Linked DNA regions of Struthio camelus. The protein of the gene in region 1 interacts with the protein of each later gene in a biochemical or structural test. Links are inferred from orthologs where the notes say so. Each region holds a gene or a part of one and is shown in the gene's direction. Other genes may lie near its edges.

Region 1 (9,377 bases):
CAGCACCACTGTACAGCAAATGTTGCAACAGGGCTGCTGAGTCCTCAACTATTTTGACATTGAGCCAAGGAAGAGAGAAGAGTTATTTCAGAGATCAAAGTTCTTTAAGTTCCTGTTAAAAGCAATAAAGCTCACTCCACTAAATTGCCTAGAAGCCATCCAGGAGGAACCATTTGTATGTTATCCCATGAGTACTACAGAGAAGGTACACAGGAGATAAGGGATCATAGAGAAATACCTATACAAACAGACAAGCATATGCATGGAAACACCTGGCATGAACACGGAGTTTTCACTAATGTCTATTCTAACTTCAAGTAAACCAGAAGAGTAGATACAGCTTAAGCCACAATCAAACTGTATCTTTTTAGGTTCTCTGTATATACGCAATGTTAGATTTGTTTTTTCCAGTACTGTAGATTCTTGTTCTCAGTTCTAGAAAGGCAACATCAGTAAGTCAGTCTACATGTTCAGCCAATCATCATCCTATTTCAACTAGCAGGAAGAATTGTTAAAGTCAAATAAGCATGACCCATGAGAATCAGTATAGCAGCTCACACAGAAGCACACTGAACAACAAATCGCCATAAAATAGTTAAAAAACCAATACTTTTAGTCATTCACAATTTAAAATAAATTGACTTAATATTTCATGAAAATGCTTTCTGAACCATTAATCTAACTAAGGGGATCTCATTACAAATATACAGAGCCAGAAAGGACTCAACAGATTACCTGAATAGACTACCCTGGCACTAAGACAGCATGCTTAGACCATTCCAGACAGGCATCCACCTAATCAGTTCATAAACGTGTCCAACGAAAGACAGCCCAGAGTCCCTAACAAAACCTCTTTTAGAGCTCAGCTGTCGTTAGATTAATAAATACTTTCCTAGTACCCAACCTAAACTTTCCTTGCTGTAAAAATAAGCCATATATTCCTCCCTAGTGAAAACAAAGAATATCTTATGGTTATCTTATTTTCAATAGCTTTTTACACACTGAAAGATTCAGATTTAGGGATATAAACTGTCCTAATGTGAATGGAAAGTTGTTCAGCATCATTGCGGTATTTTGTGATTTAGGAGCACCTAAAATTCACACTATGATGGCTGTTATTTTCCCATATATTCACAGTTCTTTTCCAGACTTAGGCAAGCTCAGTTTCCTCAGATGTCTTCTCAAACATCACATTTTCTGAACCTATCCAAATTCCTGTTCCTCCTTCCAAGTTGCCTACCACACTTTGAAATGAATTTCCAAAATGGGACACAGTGCTTCAACTGAGACTCCTCTCATCACCTCTTTGAGAGGAGCACTGTCTTTGTACTCCTCCTATCATAATTTTTTTCAGCCTCAAACATAACTATTAACGATTGAGACAAAGTTTTATTAAGAATCAACGTAATGATCCACAATCTGGTACAAATAAGCTACTCCATTTAAATATGTCCGTGATTTATAACAGAACTCATATCAGCTTCTTTCAATAACCTTGTGCTGTTTGGCAAGAGATCTTCAACCAACAGACCCTCATAAGAGTGACAGAAATATCTGTCACTTAGTTTTACACTTATCTCTGCAACACTTGGTTGTATCTTTTTTTCTTCATAGCGTATTTATGCTCATAGCGCCCTTCACAGGTAGGCATAGTAGGTCTCTTTTACAGATTGGAAGCTAAGGAATAGCGACTTAGAAGCCAAATCCAAGCGGCCCACTGCACCGACCCAGCTTATCGCAATACTACAGAAGTAGGTACCTGGCCTTGGTAAGATGATTCAGACTCCCGAAGAAGGGCCTATATGATCTCTAGAGAGTGCATTGCAGAGCATTTAGTCAGTTATTAGGCTTATTCAATTTATGCAGTCGCTACAGAGCAATAAGAACCACTGAAGAGTGATACGAGGTTCTCATATTAAGGCAGTCAGGTCACCTGTAAGTAGATGGAGCTCTCGTGTCAAGTAAAACCAAGTTAAGGATCCCAAACACTGAGCTGGGAATCATTAACAGGCAAGCAATAAGAATACAGGGTCCTGTCTGAATACCTACACCTCTGTAATATAGGTACTTGGTCCCAGGGCTGACTATTCAGGGCTTTATCAACTTGGGATCAAAAAGAAAAATAGCCTAAGAGAAGTAGATGAGGGGGAAAAAATTGCTTACACAAGAAATAAGAACATTTTTATGAAAGAAAGAAGTAAGTTACAATGCATAATATCCTCTTATTTTTCCTATAACCAGTTTGAGTCATGTCACATCTCAAATCTTATGACACCATCTGGTGGCAGAGTTCACAGAAGACACTTATCAGATGTTAAAAAGAATTTCATCAATTTAAACTTGACTCCAAATATCTTATGAATTTTGTCTTTACAAGATGAAGTGAAAGCCCAACGGAAAAAAATGCCTTAATTTTATCTAGATGTTTTGACGAAGTTATCTACAAAACCTAGCATCCTCGTACACAATTTAAACATGTACTTATATGTTAGTGATTGTTATTATTCTTTGCACTGGATATCAGAACCTTGCATATATTAAGATGTATTTTGCTGCCACCTCTTCAAACACTTGACCCCTTTGGAGACATGGGCTAGAAGGTACCTTAACTTTGGTCACAGTGATACAGGTAACAGGCTAACATAGTTTGGCTAAAACCAGTGATTTGTTCTGAACTGAAACTACTGCAATACCATACCTATTCAACAAACTTTACAAACAAAGCTAGTCAGTACTGGTACGTATTGGTGATGTGAATGCAGCTGCCTTTCACTCTTGGCTGAAGCCAAGTAAGAACTAAAAAAATGCAGTTGCCTTTAATAAAAAAGACGGTCTCTTTTCAGGTCAGGATTGGAGTATATTTTCTAAGGTAAAGAAGTTACAAAGTCATATTACATTGGCCCTAAGGATCTGCAACATTCAGCCCAGACACTGCAATACTACTAGGAAGATAATTTCAGAGTTCCAAAAAACTATTAAAGAAGTTGTTAGAAGGCTTAAGTATTTTTAGGAGAGGACCTATCAGTCCAGCAAAGCAATCAGTTACCTCAACACAGTAATTAAAGCTTGATTGAAAGAAGTAGCAAATGAAGGATAGAAACAAGAAGCAGAGGAAGTCTGAGAAAAACAGCCCCAAGAACTCATGTTGAAAACAAAGTCCACCACACCTCAATCCTCTGAGCTCATCTGTTCTACAAATCCCTTTAAAGCCATGCTTGAGTGGAAGGGAAGGAGAAAAGGAAAATTTCTTACTTGCATTAGACAGTTGTTACCAGACCACTAGCAATAAGAATAGAAAAATATAAAACGATATTATATTGTCAAAAAGCAAACCACTCAAAACAAACTTAGCCCTTACAGAGCAGTTGTATAAACTTTAAGCATCAATGCTACTTCCGCTCAACATTCACAAAGTTTTTCCTAGTTGAAGGTCATAAGCCCTCCTGAACAGCTCTTACTGTAACTTAAGTTTGTGTATGAACTACTCTGCTTGCAATAACAAACACTTTTAAACAGCTCATATTTCATTATGTCATGAAGACCCGTATCAGAAACTCCACAGAAGTGGTCTCAGTCTTTTCAGGTTACCAGCCGCATTTATCGCCGCATTCATACACGCTTTCACGAGGATATACTTTTTAGCTTTATAGTGTGAGGAAGGTAACCGAGCAACTCTGAACCCAAAGCTGCGTTTCTGCCTCGGACGCTCTTCTAGCGGGTGCGAAGAGACAACACGACAGCCAACAGTCCGCAGCGGAGAACCTGCTCTGCACTGAACCCGACCACAGAGCTCAGGGGGCCCCGCCGCCGCCGCCGCCACCACCACCCGCGACGGCCGTGCCACAGAGCAAACCCAGGCCAGGCCCGGCCTGGCCCTGTCCGGCCGGGCCGGCGGCCGCTGCGACCCCGCCGCGCCGCCGGCCCCGCTCTCCCCGCACCCCGCCGCCAGGGGGGCCCCGCCGCTCGGCCCCCCGCTCCGCCACTCACACATCGCAGCCCTCGCCAGGGCAGCGGCCCGCCAACCCATCACTCGGCCGGCGCCCCGCAGGCCCCGCCGCCGCCCGCCCCGGGGCCGCCGCCGCTCGCACCGCGCCAGCGCCCGCGCCGGGCCGACCCCGCAGAGACCCGCGGCGCACGGCGGGGCGGGGCAACCCCGCGCCCCAGCCAATCCGCCAGCAGGGAGGCGGCCGCTCTGCATGCCGGGAAGTCCGCCTGCCCCCGCCGCGCTGCCTGCTGGGAAGTGTAGTTCGGGCGGCGGAGCGGTGTTAGAGGAAATACCCGCTTACTTCACTGCGGTAGGATACATGCTTGTCAGTTCGGGACGTTTAGTTACCGATAACAATAGTAATCATCGTTATTATCAGTCAGTATAGTGCCATAAACATGCATAGTTGAACCGTGCTGTAGTGCTGTATGCTACTGCTCGAAAAACCTGCTCCTGAAAATCACACACATAGCAGTAGCAAGAAGCCACAGAAATTGTGCTAGGACCAGCACAGGCTGAGCTAGCCTGACAAATCACCTTCAGGAACAGTCTGAAAGGCTTAAGAACAAGTGCCTGTGCTTGTGGCTGGGCTGCGTAACACACAGTAAACCTCAGTCCAGTGGGACCTCTCAAGAAGCGTAAGCCAAAGGGGGCTCTGGATGCTGTAAGGGAAAGCGAAACAAGGCCCGCCTCTGAGACCACAGAGGTTTCATCCCGAGAGGGCACTTCATTAGCCTTAGAAGAGCAGCGCAGCCCACTCTGTGCCCTGATGGCATTGAGAAGTGCTGATGTTGCCCTGGGTTAACAACATTACAGAAGGTATATGATCTTAACGGCAACCTCAGCACAGAAAAAATCAGTTACACTTCAGGAGGAAAACATACACGGAAAGTCAGCACAGTTCAACTATAAAGCGCAAGACCCACAGCTTCCCCTTGCCGGAGGCCCCTGCCCTCTTTCTCCCTCTAGTTACACAGGAGTGGTTAAGGTCCTTCCTCAGAGTGACGGGTACCTCACTCTCAGAAAAATCTCACTGATTCCAACGGGGCTACCGACATACTACGTCTTTATTTAGCATAGCTGCAACTGGCAAAACCCGGACCCTATCGCACCGGCCACGTACAGCCGTCGCCCACCGGCGGAGCGCCGCGGCGCCTTGGCGCATGCGCAGGAGTCCCGTCAGCCACCTCATGGCGCCATGTTGGGTGCACCCAACCTGCGCGCGCCGCCGGACGTTTCCCACGAGGTGCCGGCGGCCCCGCTATAGGCAGGCGGGCGGGCGGGCGGGCAGGCAGGCGGGCGGCTTCTCTTTCCCGCCATGTCGAGTGTGGCGCGCGGCGCCGCGTCCGCCGGGGGTTGCTGGCTTCCCCTTCCGGGGCGGGGCGGTGGCCAGTGACGCGCGGGGCGGGTGGGCGCTCCGCAGCGGGGGCGGGCGGGCGCTGGGCCGTTAAAGGGGCGGCGAGGGGTGCGGGGCCTGGCTTAAGGGTGGCGACCGTTGCGGGGCGTGCAGCAGCGGTGGCGACGACGACAGGTGCGTGGCGGCGGCGGCAGCAGTAGCAGTAGGCGTGTGTGGTGGCCGCCCCAGCCTGCCGACTCGCCGCTCCGCGCCCCGAGCGGAGCAGCCGGGGCGGCGGCCGCGGGAGTCAGGCTGGCAGGTCGAGTCCCCTTCCGCCTTGCCGTTAACGGCTCGGCCCCGCCGGGGCCGCGGCTGGAAGGGCACCGGTGACGGGGTCGTGGCTGCCCGGGAGGGCCGCTGGTGTGGCGGGGCCTGGGGCTGCGCGCAGCCCCTGCTCCACCCTGGCCTCGCCGTGCCGAGAGGCCCGTGCCGCTGGGGTCCGAGCCCTGCGCTGGGCGGGCGGGGGAGGATCCTGGGCGGCTTTCGGATGTTTCTTCTGTGCTTGACTGAACTGATCCGGTTGTATGTTACCGGAGGCACTCCTCCTGTTATTGCTGTTTTTAAACTCTTATGGTTTCCTGCCTTTAGACACGAGTTGGTAAAATTCTGATAGGTACGAACAATAAGTGTTAGAAGTAACTTGTGGGTCTCTGTTTAACTGTAGATCTCGAAACCTTTAGCCCTCCTAGGAAACTGATAAAGAATAGTCAGCTTTATTTTTCACTCTTCTCTTTTGAAGACTTATCTCGGGCAGAGTGCAATTACTGCTTAACACAAAGGTGTAACACAGCACACAATTCCTCAACCCAGACAAATGGGCTGGGGAAGCTTTGGAACTTCTTTATACAGCTTTCCTAGCTATTTGTGTTCCCTTTTTCTGAGGGCAATAGGCATTCAGGACTCAGAACTAAGTAGCTGAGTTTTCCTTTACTTCTCCCTTCATTTAAAAAAAAAAAAAAAGAAAAAGCTAATTCTCTGCTGCAGGTAGAACAGCTATACAGGAAGGCATTTAGGGGCAAAGGAAAAACCTCCCTGGATGTCAATTGCATGATTCTTTGGTTTGAGCAATGAATTCCTTACTGGCAGTCTGGTAACTAGTCTGTATGCCTTAGCGCCCCGATTCTGCAGGGTTTTTAAGTAGCTGATTGTATAGCTTTTTGCACAGTGTTCTTCGTTAGGCAGACAAAATAGCAGCTGTTACTGTCTGTATGTTGATCTAGAGTTGCTTGTTAACTTGTATTGGCTAATAACTAAACTGGAGGAGGTATCACGAGGCTTTTCCAGCAACAAAAATTGCTTGTTGGAACTAGCATAGAAGAGAACACATAGCATAGAGGAGGTGGTGTTGCTAGCGCCTATTCTTTTGGCTGTCTCCTCTGTGCAGTGTGTTCAGGAAGCTGATAAGAGAAAGCAGGAAGCATGCAGAGTGGTTTCTTGTTCTTGGGTTCTGGCCCCTTCCCCCAGTGTCACAGATGCTTTATTCATTTATCTTGTAGACATAATAGCCTGGAGGAGTACGCTCTGGTGCTGATACCTTGTACCAGCCTGTATTTGCTGGGCTGAATTTCAGCTGCTGAACATAAGTAGCATTTTCTATTTGAATAAGGAAGGTTTTTCAAAAGCAGCTCCTGCATTGGTGATGCAAATGTTTTTGTTTTGTTTTGTACTTTTGTATCAAGTCACCTACTCTGTAAACTGTCTAGTTTTAATCTGTGCAAGAGCACACAACTTTCATAATTTATTTTCAATTTTTTCTAAAAATAGTTCTGTTAATGTTCTTCATCTTTTGGAGAAGGCAACTGCTCACTTTACAGGTGAAGGAACAGAGAGCATCCGTGATCTTCTGAGGCTATACCGGTTCACTGATGGCTAAAATTATAGCTCATGAGATCCTGGCTTTCGTTCTGCTGCTGAGACATCTGGATTGTGTCTTCTTGCACTTCCTATCTTTGTTTATAACACAATTGCCCATAAGACGGCGTAGGCTGAATTTTTCAATCATATTTTTTTTTGCCATATCAGCTGGGGGCTATTTGTTATTTCTTCCCTGGTACTTGTAATAAATATCAATGGAAAGATCTAGCTACCAATTGTAGGTTTTTAAGGATAATACTTTGGTATATTTACTGGTAGATTAGTTTTTTAAAAGTATACAATACAGGAATTACTTTCTGATATATCTGAAATGAGGAGGTAGTCAAATATGGGTACATGTGAATAGAAAGGATTAGATCTTGCGTAATCATGACTTTTTGAAAATGAATAACTTGGGCATGCATGTCTAAAAGTTTTCTGATCAACTATGCCATATTTAGTTCCTGACTACTGAAAACTTTTGACTGGATTTTGAGGAGAAAAACAGCGTGAAGCCTTAAGTGCTCTAGCAAGACTCCATGCTTTGCAGGAGTTGACTCATTTTCATTCACAACTTGGAAATAGCTTTTCTGAGAGAGAAATTCTTCTAGAAGGCAAATTTAATGACCCTTATATTTCCAGCATTAAAAAAAAATGACCTAATCCCCACTTGTAACTCTCACAGCTGTTGTCTTCCATTGCCAAAAGTATTACACTACATTCTTCTAGCTTTAGTTCCTACTCCTAAGAAAATTGGGAACCTCTTGCTTATTATGTGTTTATGGAATAGGCACTAAGGTACAGATTGTTCTTTGTTACTGATGCTAGCAAAATGTCTTTAACTGAAAAAGGAAGAGCTTCAGCCTGCATTTCTAGCTGAGGACTAGTAGTGCAGGAGGAAGGATGAAGGACTGTTTTAGACATCCTGATTGTTTAGGTTCAAATAAGGAGCATCACCAGTTGACAAGGAATTAATTTGGGATATCTGAGAAATGTGATAGGTGTCTCTCACATCTGTGAAAGGCTGTCTGTCAGAGGCACAAAACTGCTGCATGTCAGCCAGAGATGCGAGACTGAAAATCTTGCTGAGTTTGTTAAACTGCAAGTGATCAATACAGTATATTGGTCTAGTGCAGAGAGACCTGTGTAGTTGAGGAAAACATGTCACTTTTGACACTCTCTTTCCCTGTCAAAATTAGATCTTTCAAAATGTCTTAGTTTGAAGGGATGACAGGAATGCACAAAATCTCCAGGTGTAACAATTTTTTTTAAAAATGCTCCTACCCTGAGTGCCAATATGAAATGATGTTTGTCTGCAGTAGATAGCTTAATGTCCTTTCCAGATGTGGACGGTGTAATTGCAGTTAAACACGTCATTAGACTTTCTGGCACCCAGTAGTTTGTTCAAATTCAGAGATATCTAAGACAGAAAATTCTTATGGGCTTTGAGTGCTTTGGACAGCACACTCTAAATATGTGTTGACTGTCTTAAAGCAAGGATGTAACTTTTTTTCTAGAGTTGATAACTTTTCAAAAATGCCTGTTCAAACAGTAGGTAAATTGCGTACCATAGCTTTCATTACCTTGGAAGTGTCTTTTTTTGCAAGTCTGAGAAAAATATTTGGAATGAAAAAGCCTGAAAGGGATATGCAATTTCACTGTTGTAACAGCTTTTGAAACTTGCCTATATTTATACCTATGGTCTGCTTCTGTTGGAAACTTTGAGTGTTGGTTGTAAATAGTTGACTTCAAATTTGCATGTAATTCTTAATGAAAAATAAATGCTGGTAAGAAAAATCTCTAGTGGTGCAGAGCACTATGTTGCAGCAATGACAGAGACAATAAAGAAAGATTGTATGTAAAATTAAGTGTGTGATCTGAGACAACGCATAGCAAAGATGATTATGATGTTACTGGCTGCATAGAACAGTTTTTTTCATCTTGAGGCTTTTTCATTTCAAATGCTTAATGCTTTTTCCAAAGCTTTAATGTACCTACCATCAGGGATCCTCAACCAAAGAGCTGCTGTTGGATAAACGCATACTAAGTCTAGCTTTCTGATCACAAGCAAGTAATAAAGCTTGGAGATTTATATGTGCTGGCAGTAGGTTGCTATGGGTATTGCTAACACTGAATTTGCTC
Region 2 (9,023 bases), on another chromosome or scaffold:
CATAGGATTATAAATATCAAGTCCGTGGGGTCATACTGACTTTTAAGCACCCTGCTCTTTTTTCCTCTGGTGTACTTAGGCAGTATGTTCCTTTTTTGTGGTCTGCATAACATTTATTTGTTGCTGCATCCCCTAATCAAGGATAAATACATTAATTTTTAAATACTTCTGGCTTGAAATAATATAGATTTTTTTTCATGGAACATGACACACGCAAACAGACTATTTCTTGTTCATTCTCTGCATACATGGAGGCAATGCATACAGAAAGCTTTACAATCTCTCTGCTGTAATATTCACATACTTAGTCGTGGAGCGCCACTCCAAAATTTTATTTAAATTTTTCTTTGTTGCAAAAATCACTGGTTTGTTGAGCTTGTTTTCTTTTTTTCTTTTTTTTGGAGGAGGTGGTACAATGGGGTTTCTCTGAGCCTTTTTGGTGATCACCCCTAGGTGCCAGAAAGGATGTTTTTAAGAATATGTAATTCATATTTTTCTCAGTACAATGCTATCTTTATAAACCTCTTACGAATCCACCCATCTTCTTGACAAATAGGAATCCATTTATTAATAGGAGCCCATAAAGCCACATAAGTGGAGTTTGTGGCAGTGTTTAAGAATATAAACACTTCCAGGAAAATCTTCAATCTGTGACTTTGTCTACACAGTGCTAAGTATGCTTTAGAAGCGTGGAGCTTGTTAAAATAATAATAAATTCAGGTCTTGGATTATTTGAGTGCTCCCCTAACCTACTACCATGAGATAGTTAATTTCTCCTATCAGTCAGTTCCCAAACTGATCAAACTGCGAAGACTACAAACACTGAAACAGATCTTTGTCTTCTGTTCTCTTCAACAAGTGTTAATATGATAAAAATTCAGCCTTGTATGTTATTACATGGAAGCATACTACTGATCATGGAATGAGAGTTCGTTTGTTTATTTAATCCTCCACTTAGCGCTGAATTTCAGTAAACAAACTGCATGTCTCCAGTGCACAGTCTTGGACTGTGTGGTGAACAGTAGGAAAGACATGTAAAAATATAACTTTTTATTGTCATACTTAGAAGACTATGAAACTCAGAAACTACGTTTGCAAAGGTTTTCATAGTTTTCACAACACGAGTTTTGGATAAAGAACTCTGTTTTTCTGCTTAGACCATGACATCACAATGAAAGGAAATCTGAATATGTACTGTGTATATATAGACTTTTCAATGTATTTTCAAACTAATGTGCAACTAATTGATATTACTGAATTATGATAGAGCCTTAATGAAGTGTTTAAGAGCTCTCCATACACAGGTGCTTCCGGCCTTACCAGAACTACCTGTTGGACTTTGCCATTCCCTAGAGCCAGGAGAGTGGGGTAGATTAAAGCGTTCCAACGGGAGAATGCCTTAGAGCTGCAGAAAGGACCCTAAGTACTGCTAATCACTAACACGGCAGTGAAGTGCAAGGACTTGTCTTAACTGGATTCACACATTGTAGTCCAAGGGAGCTTAACCTCCAGAGGAAAAGACATCTCTTCTTCCAAGGAACACAGACCACCCAGTGGATAAGTTGCCCTTTGCATCTCAGTTGACTATAGCCTTAAACCTTTATGTTGAATTGCATGAGACAGTTGTTGCTCAACTGATAGACAGTTTGGGCAATACTAGTTGTTCTTTATTTAACTACATGTTGCACTAATACTTTTAAAATATATTAATCCAATATACACAAGGTGTAAATACTTTGAACTGCGCTCACTTCCCAATTCGTGCAAAGAAGGGGCATATCAGTGATTCCAGTTCCTGTTAATCTTTCAAATATACCTAACGTTGATTTGCTAGGCGCCCGTGCAAAACTTTGAAACCCACTTGGGCCTATTTGAAAATTAAATATAACAGAATTGTCTGGGTAATTCATACAACAGAAACTGTTCCCTTTGTTATGAACGTAGGACAGTTATAACAAGTGAGCACCAGCCCAGCACTCTAGAAAACACTAGCTGAGAATGTTGTACTTACACCCCTGACAATAATGAAAAGATACATGATGTCTTGACATAAAAGATATTGTAAAGTGGCCACACAACTGCATCAGGAAGACAGCTGGAGTTTATGGAACTGGTTTGGGTCTCTGGAACTAAGATTGTATATGAATTCCTTATAATTGTTACAGTAGTATTATGCTTTCTCTGTTTTCTTCTTAAGTGTTGTCTGTTACATTTTTGTAACTGTTGCTTAAATTGGAAATATTCATCAGGCCAGCAAAAGGCTCAAGATGTACGAGGAATTTGCCTTGCTATGCTGGAAGCTTGTGAGTGAAAGAAGGAAGAAATTGATAAACTTAAGCTCATTTCAACTGAATAAGGAAACCTAGATGCAAGAGGGGATGAGGAGACAGCATGGCCTGAGCAGTGAGAGGATCTGTTTAGAAGCCCTGAGCTGGGCATCTGTGGCTCCTCTACCATACTCTGGGTGTGAGACTGGTAGTCTCAAAGCGGGGAGCTGTGGTAGTTTGTGTAAATATACAGACTATTTCAGGGTTTTATTTACTGTTTAGGGATTTAAAAGGCAATCTTGGTTGAGGCCTGTCATGGATGTTTCTTAACTGTGCTAGCACTTTCCTTCATAGACAAGCTGAAGCAGTCACCAGTTAAAACCAGATCCATCCAGCCTTGAGGCGCGAGGGATTTATAGCATTCCATAAAAGGAAAAGTGTTTGATTATGACCTTTGACTGGTTAAGAAGCTTCTTGAATAACTAAGAAAGTACATAAAAAGCCTTGTTCCTCTTTGCTATGTAGAGACCAAATTGGTGAGGTTTATTTTCACCTTTGCCACCATGTGCTCTCTCCTATAGCTACTAATAGTAAATAAAAGCTTCTCTTCTGACCTAACCCAGAAGTATTGAGGATTTCTTCGACAGAAGCTTCTAAGTATTGTAACAAACTAATTAGTAAACTATCTTTTTTTCCTTCAAACAAAACAATAATACTGTGTGATACTTTACTTTGGAACAATTAAACGTGACTTGCTAATTAAAAAGTCCCCAATCATTTGATTTGAGCTCCTGCCAAATATTTACAAGTTGTTGCAGAGATAAGTTTGCCATATAGGATCTACTTGTTAGCATCTGTTTTAAATATATACAAATAAGTATTCAGTTCAGAGGATCTACAAAACATCTACTCCAGATAGCTCCATTCAGCAAAGGCCACAAAACACTTCCAATGACTAATCAGCAGCGTTAGATAACCAAGACATTAGGGTCCCTAAGATATCACTACGTAATCAGCAGAATAATAAGCCTTAAAAGATCTTGTACATTTCCTGTACCTTGACTCAGCTCAACTGTGAACAAACTGAGCCACTGACCCAGATAAAGTAAAGGACAGCACTTAGGAAGTCAGGGAAGATGCAAATAAAGAGTGGTACAAAAGCTTGTACTGGAGATGACCACAGTCACAGAGCTAAACAGCATGTTATCTTTGAACACAACTGCTACGTTAGCAAACTATTTTGCAAACTCTAGAAGATGACAACAGTGCATACCAGCAAGAAATTAAAAGGAATATTGGTATGTTTCACAGTCAAAGCACTGATTGTGGAAATGTCTGGAATATTAGCTCAAACAGAAACAGAGCTCTGCACACTGGTGTTCCAGGTGACACATGAAATTTAAAAAGGAAATTAGTCATTTTCAACATGGATAGGTAAAACGGATCACTCAGGATCACTGAGGACTTTATGCATTCTATGGTATGTCTGCGATGTTTCCTAGAATCTCTCAGGCCTTTAAAGCATATCTGTTATTGCACTGATTTACGACTTTGGCAAAGTCTTTAATTTGTCTTCCTGTGACACTTTGTGGTCATTGTTTTTGATGTTTTACCTGAGACCTTAAAGTCACTACAAGGCAATGTTTCTCAGCGCTTATTAGTTGAAGAGTTTAAAAAAAAAAAAAAGTCCTCAGCTCATCTTCTGTTCCACAAAATGAAGTGTGCAACTTTAATTTCCTGTCATTACGTTGATGTTCTAAGAATGACTAGCAAGCCGTAGTTTAATGTTACGGAACAGCAAAAGGAAGTATCTATGGCCTGTGGTGAGCTGAACTGTCAGAAAAGAGAGGAAACAGTCTGTTCACTTTCTGAACTAAATATGCATTGCATGAAGTCTGATTGCCGCCTACCCACGTGACTCACCAGAGAAGAATTAAATAAAATACAGCTGAAAAATAACCCTATCGCAACTTTTAACAGTTTGTTTCGCTGATGACAGTCTCCCCAAGTTTTGTGCTATTATAACATCCTGCTGTTACGCGCCTAGCAGCACTGCTCGCTGGGGCTGGGAATTTCCTCGTGGGTACCGTTCAGAAGAGTCAGTTCTCTAACTCCGCACGTGTCTACCTCTGGAAGTGCCCGTCTTGAACAGGCCCGCGGCAACGCGCGACTCCGCCGCGCCTCCCTCCCCCCAGCTCCCACCGGCCTCTTCGCAAATACTGGCGCAGCTACCCGCGCCCTCCTCGGGCCTTGCCGTGACGTCAGCTCCCCGGCGGACGGGTGCCGCGCCCGGCCATTCCGCGCGGCCGCGCCCAGGAATTTGCATCGCGGCCACCACCCCCTTCCTCGCGAGGCGCATGCGCGGAGCCGGGCCGCCGTTGCCGTGACTTTGGGAGGGGGCGGGGCGGTGGCAGCTGCCCCTCGCACCGCGGAAGGAGAGCGGGGAGGCGGCGCGGCCCGGCCGGTCCGCTGAGCCCGGCCGAGGAGGGAGCGGAGGGGTCGGGGGGGTGGCGGCGGCGGCGGCGGGCCGAGCGCCGGCGGCTCTCTTCGGCGGGCGAGGAGCAGCCGGGGAAGCCTCGGGGTGGCGCTGAGCTGCTGCGGGGATGAAGGACCGGCTGGCGGACCTGGCAGAGGTGAGGGCTGCGGCGGGGGGCCGGAGGGCAGGTGGCGAGCGGGGGCGGCCGAGAGGCTAGTTCGGGGGGGGGAGGGGGGGCGGCCCCCGGGAAAGGGGGGGCGGCAGGCGGCGGAGCCGGTGGCGAGGAGAGGGGCGGCGGGGTGTGAGGGGCGGGGGAGGTGGTCGCCGCGGTCGCCGCCTGAGGTAACGGTCGGCGGCGGGAACGTGGATGTTCCGTTGGTGGATGCGCTGAGGCGACGCCTCGGCCCGGTCCCTGGGGGCAGGGAGGTCTCCGAGCTGCCGCGCGCTGTTTTCCCACTCCCTCCTCGAGGAGGAGGAGGAGGAGAACTTCCTTCCCCAGAGATGGGAAGACGCTTCTAAGCGTCGGGATTCTTACAACAAACTTCAAGCTCCTGCGATTTGTTTTTATAGCTTAAGTTCTCCCTCTTCCTCCCTCCAGCACACTTTAAATATTAATATTCTGAATGACGGATGAACGGGGGAAAACAATTTTGTTTTTGAACTGTCCACAGTGTAGTGGAATAGAATATCTGCTTTGGAACCGTTTCACCAGTAATACGTTCATCAGCAAATAAAGCTATCTGCAGATCCTGTTTTGCGTGTGTTTTAAAAATGGTAGTTGGAAATGTTTATTCGTTCTTTTCCTTCCTCTTATTTACGCTTCAAAAGCAGTATCCTTAAGAAAAGAGGGAGAGTTGGAGGGAGGTACTGTGTTGTCTGTTTTCAGCAGGACATGGCTTGGTCAAAATAAAAGAGTATTTGACTCTATTCCAAGGATAAATGAAATTGGAGCGCGCACAGGAGTCTCTAATACTTTTAGGACTCTCCACATATACGTAGTTGGCCTCTGCTGAGCTATGTACAGATTTGGGCCTTATTTGTCTTAAATTCACATCTTATGGTTCAGAAAATACATTTCAGAAGCTCTGTTCTTATGCAGTAGGATTACCAGTCTGTCTTCCTCTCCAAAAGGGTGAATTGGCATTTGAAAAGTTTTTGCATGATTAGGTTACAGTGTCTTTACCAGGGAAGATAGAGGAGAGTCTTGTCAAAGAAAAGTGTATTTTCTTTCAGGTATATTTCTCTTCTCCTATTTCCTGTTTCTAAGTTTGTCCAGGTTGTAGGAATACGTGCCAAATTTCAGTGGTGGTGCATTCTTCCCAGGAAAAAGGAAGCAGCAAACGGTGATCTGAATTTGCTTTTTAATTTATAGTCTTAAAACATGTAGTCTGCCCTGACTGTAGGGAAGCAGCAGTGGTCTGTCTTTGATTAAAAAATAAAAATAATTCACTTAGATATTGTTAGACGCTTTTAAAGTAACTCTGTACGTAGGGGTTTCTAGGCCACCTTTAATATTTTTCATCTAAAAGCATCATTGCTGCAAACTGCTACTTTAATTGCAAACACTGGGATCAATATTTGTCAAGTGCTTCATACGTTCAAGAGTATAACTGAGGTTTACAACCTGTAAAATTAACAAATAGCAAAGGGATCTAAAATAAGGACTCTATTCGAATAAAGGACAGAGAACTCTCTTCTAACAAGAACAAAGTGAAGGCAATGTCAAGTGAAAGCAGAAAGATCAAAGATCCAACCTATGTTTTATCACTTGAAAGCATGCTATTGGTCAAAAGTTTAGAGAAGATACATACCAGAGGAGATAGCCTTTGTAAAACTTGATATCCACAGGGAATTCATAGAAGTAGCGACTAAGATCTTGCCTCTTTATCTGAAACATCAAAAGAGATGAAATTTTGGTGATGTGAAAGATTTTCCTTTACTACCATAAACACTTTGAACAGTGATTCTTTCCTTGATAATACATAGATAAAATTACTTTGAAAAGGAATAAATCACCTCTAGAAATCATACAAACTGCATTAACATTTGTTTGCCCATTTTCCAAACTGTTTCAGACTAGTTAGTATAAGTTGCACTGTATTTTATGTGGCAAAATCATTAAGTGAAGGGTAGTGGTTGTATGTTGCAGTTTTTAAACAGGCCTGGGCCTTCATGATCTTCAGGAATTACTAAGTCTTTGCCTTAATGTGAGAATGTTATTTTGTATTTAATTGATTATATCTTATATGAAAGCTACCTCCATCTTGTTTCCTTAAAAGACTTGATATGCTACACAAATCGTTTAAGAGATCGTAGCACTTTAACCAGTCCACACTGACCTGCTTTAAATAAATGCAATGCTCCCTTAAGAAGAAACACACATTTAAGTTTACAAGTCCTCATTTCCATGTTCCTGAATTGTAATTGAAGGCAAGAAAATTATTTTGTCACTTAAAATGGAAGATTTTGTTTTCTTAGATTTCTCTTTATAAAGGATAGCAAGCAATGTTAGTTATTAATGTTCATGGTCCATTGGCAGATGAAATTATCTCAACTTGTGGATACTTTTGTTCATACACTATATCAGACAGTTAAATAGTGCTAAAATACTTCCTGGAAAGAGAAACTGTTGTGGACATGCAGATAATGTTGCTGCTTATTATTTGTCAGCTAGGAAGAGTCTTGCAATGTACATACGTTTCTCAGAAGATAACAGCCTTACGTGTATTTGTTCACTTCTGGGGGATGATTTCAACATCTTGTTTACAAATTATTCTGTCTGCTCTCTTTTTTATTCCTTTGCTGCGATTGACTGGACAATTCATCAAGTTCCAGAGGTATTTAGTTATTTTTAGCCAAAACGAGTGTAAGATTAAAATGAGAATAAAAAGTTCTACCTAACTCAACATGTTGTTTTCAACAGTGCTCAATGGCGTATGCATAGTGAAGAAAAGAACAACAGGGCAAGCACGTAGCAATGATTCCCTGGCCTATTCTCCTAGCCCTGAATGGTTTGCAGTTTGGGGTTACACGACCACATTAAAATGATGTTAATATTTTAAAGAGTTATACAGTCTGTGCTCTGATGGTGGGTTCAGCACATCTAGCCAGCATTGGGTATTAAAAACAGAAAAACAGATGTCCTTTTAAAGATCTGCTAATAGAGTTCAAATTTTTTTTTTTGTTATGCCATTTAAAGATGTAAGATATAAACCTTTTCTGCTTAAGCAAACTTAATGCTTACAGTAACTTGAACAGAACTGCACTGATTTTTTTATTTTTATTTTTATTTTTTGTGAATAACCTCTTGTGCATTCACTTAGTGCCCCAAAAGTTCTATTTAGGAGTAGGGTAAAGAACCACAAAGTCACAAAATTTAAAATCGGTAGAATTGTAGCAGTAAGGAAAAACTGGAAGAGGAACTTTTTCAGAGTGAGGAAAAAAGTTGCCAAGTTATTTCTTCTGAGTTCATTTTTTACATTAGTCTTTGTTTAAGCATAGACTCTTCTAACGATGAGCTATGAGTTTTCCATGCCATAACAGCATAAAGTAGTTTCCTATAGTTGGTCACGATATGATCTTTTTCTATGTTGTGCAGTAATGCTACTAACATGCATGTTAGCGATTGACCTGCTAAAGGTGCCTGACTGATCTGGTTGGCCCTCAGTAAGGGAAAAGGCTTACTACCTGTGATAAAGAAAATTTCTTGAAAGACTGATGCTGTGAGGAAAAAATTGAAAAGCTACGTGCTCATGGTCAGGAGTGCACACAGATTAACATGGATTCAGTGACATATAGATCAATAGCTCTGGAGTCAGAAATTATCTAATAAAAAGTATTTTAAGTAGAACAGACTGGGAAAACTTCAATTTTAATGTAGGAGATGTCAGGTAAAAATTGTAGTCTGTTAAAAGATAGACTCTCCATATAGGAAAAAAATTCTACTTTCTATTAAAATATGTAAGTAGTAATTTTAGGAAGTTAAAAGATTTCTTGGATAATAAAAGCAATCCTTTAATGGAAACGGGCAACCATAAAGGTTATTTTCGGTGTTGTCAGCATTGTTTCCTTGTATGCCCATCTAGTTCACTGAGTAATGTGGGAGTGTGTGTGTACAAAGGAGCTAAGCTACAGTTTGCATGGGTAGCTGTAAATCTGGCATTTGCTGTCCCTCAGGTGCTTGATTTTTGTATGCGAAATAACTTTATGCAGCTTAGTTTGTTTAGCCTGTAAGTTCTCTAGACTTTTTTTTTTTTTTAAAGGAAATGTTCAGATTTCTG

The links.
Region 2: the proteins of SNAP23 (region 1) and STX2 form a complex in vitro, tested with the Homo sapiens proteins (2 studies listed by BioGRID). The link is inferred for Struthio camelus from reciprocal best matches to the Homo sapiens genes SNAP23 and STX2.

What each region holds. Positions count from the first base shown.
Region 1 is NC_090946.1:42,631,238-42,640,614, forward strand, and holds the start of SNAP23 (synaptosomal-associated protein 23), read left to right. Parts: upstream 1-5,355; 5' UTR 5,356-5,516; intron 5,517-9,377. UniProt on the Homo sapiens protein: Essential component of the high affinity receptor for the general membrane fusion machinery and an important regulator of transport vesicle docking and fusion.
Region 2 is NC_090958.1:14,149,120-14,158,142, forward strand, and holds the start of STX2 (syntaxin-2), read left to right. Parts: upstream 1-4,702; 5' UTR 4,703-4,870; coding exon 4,871-4,900; intron 4,901-9,023.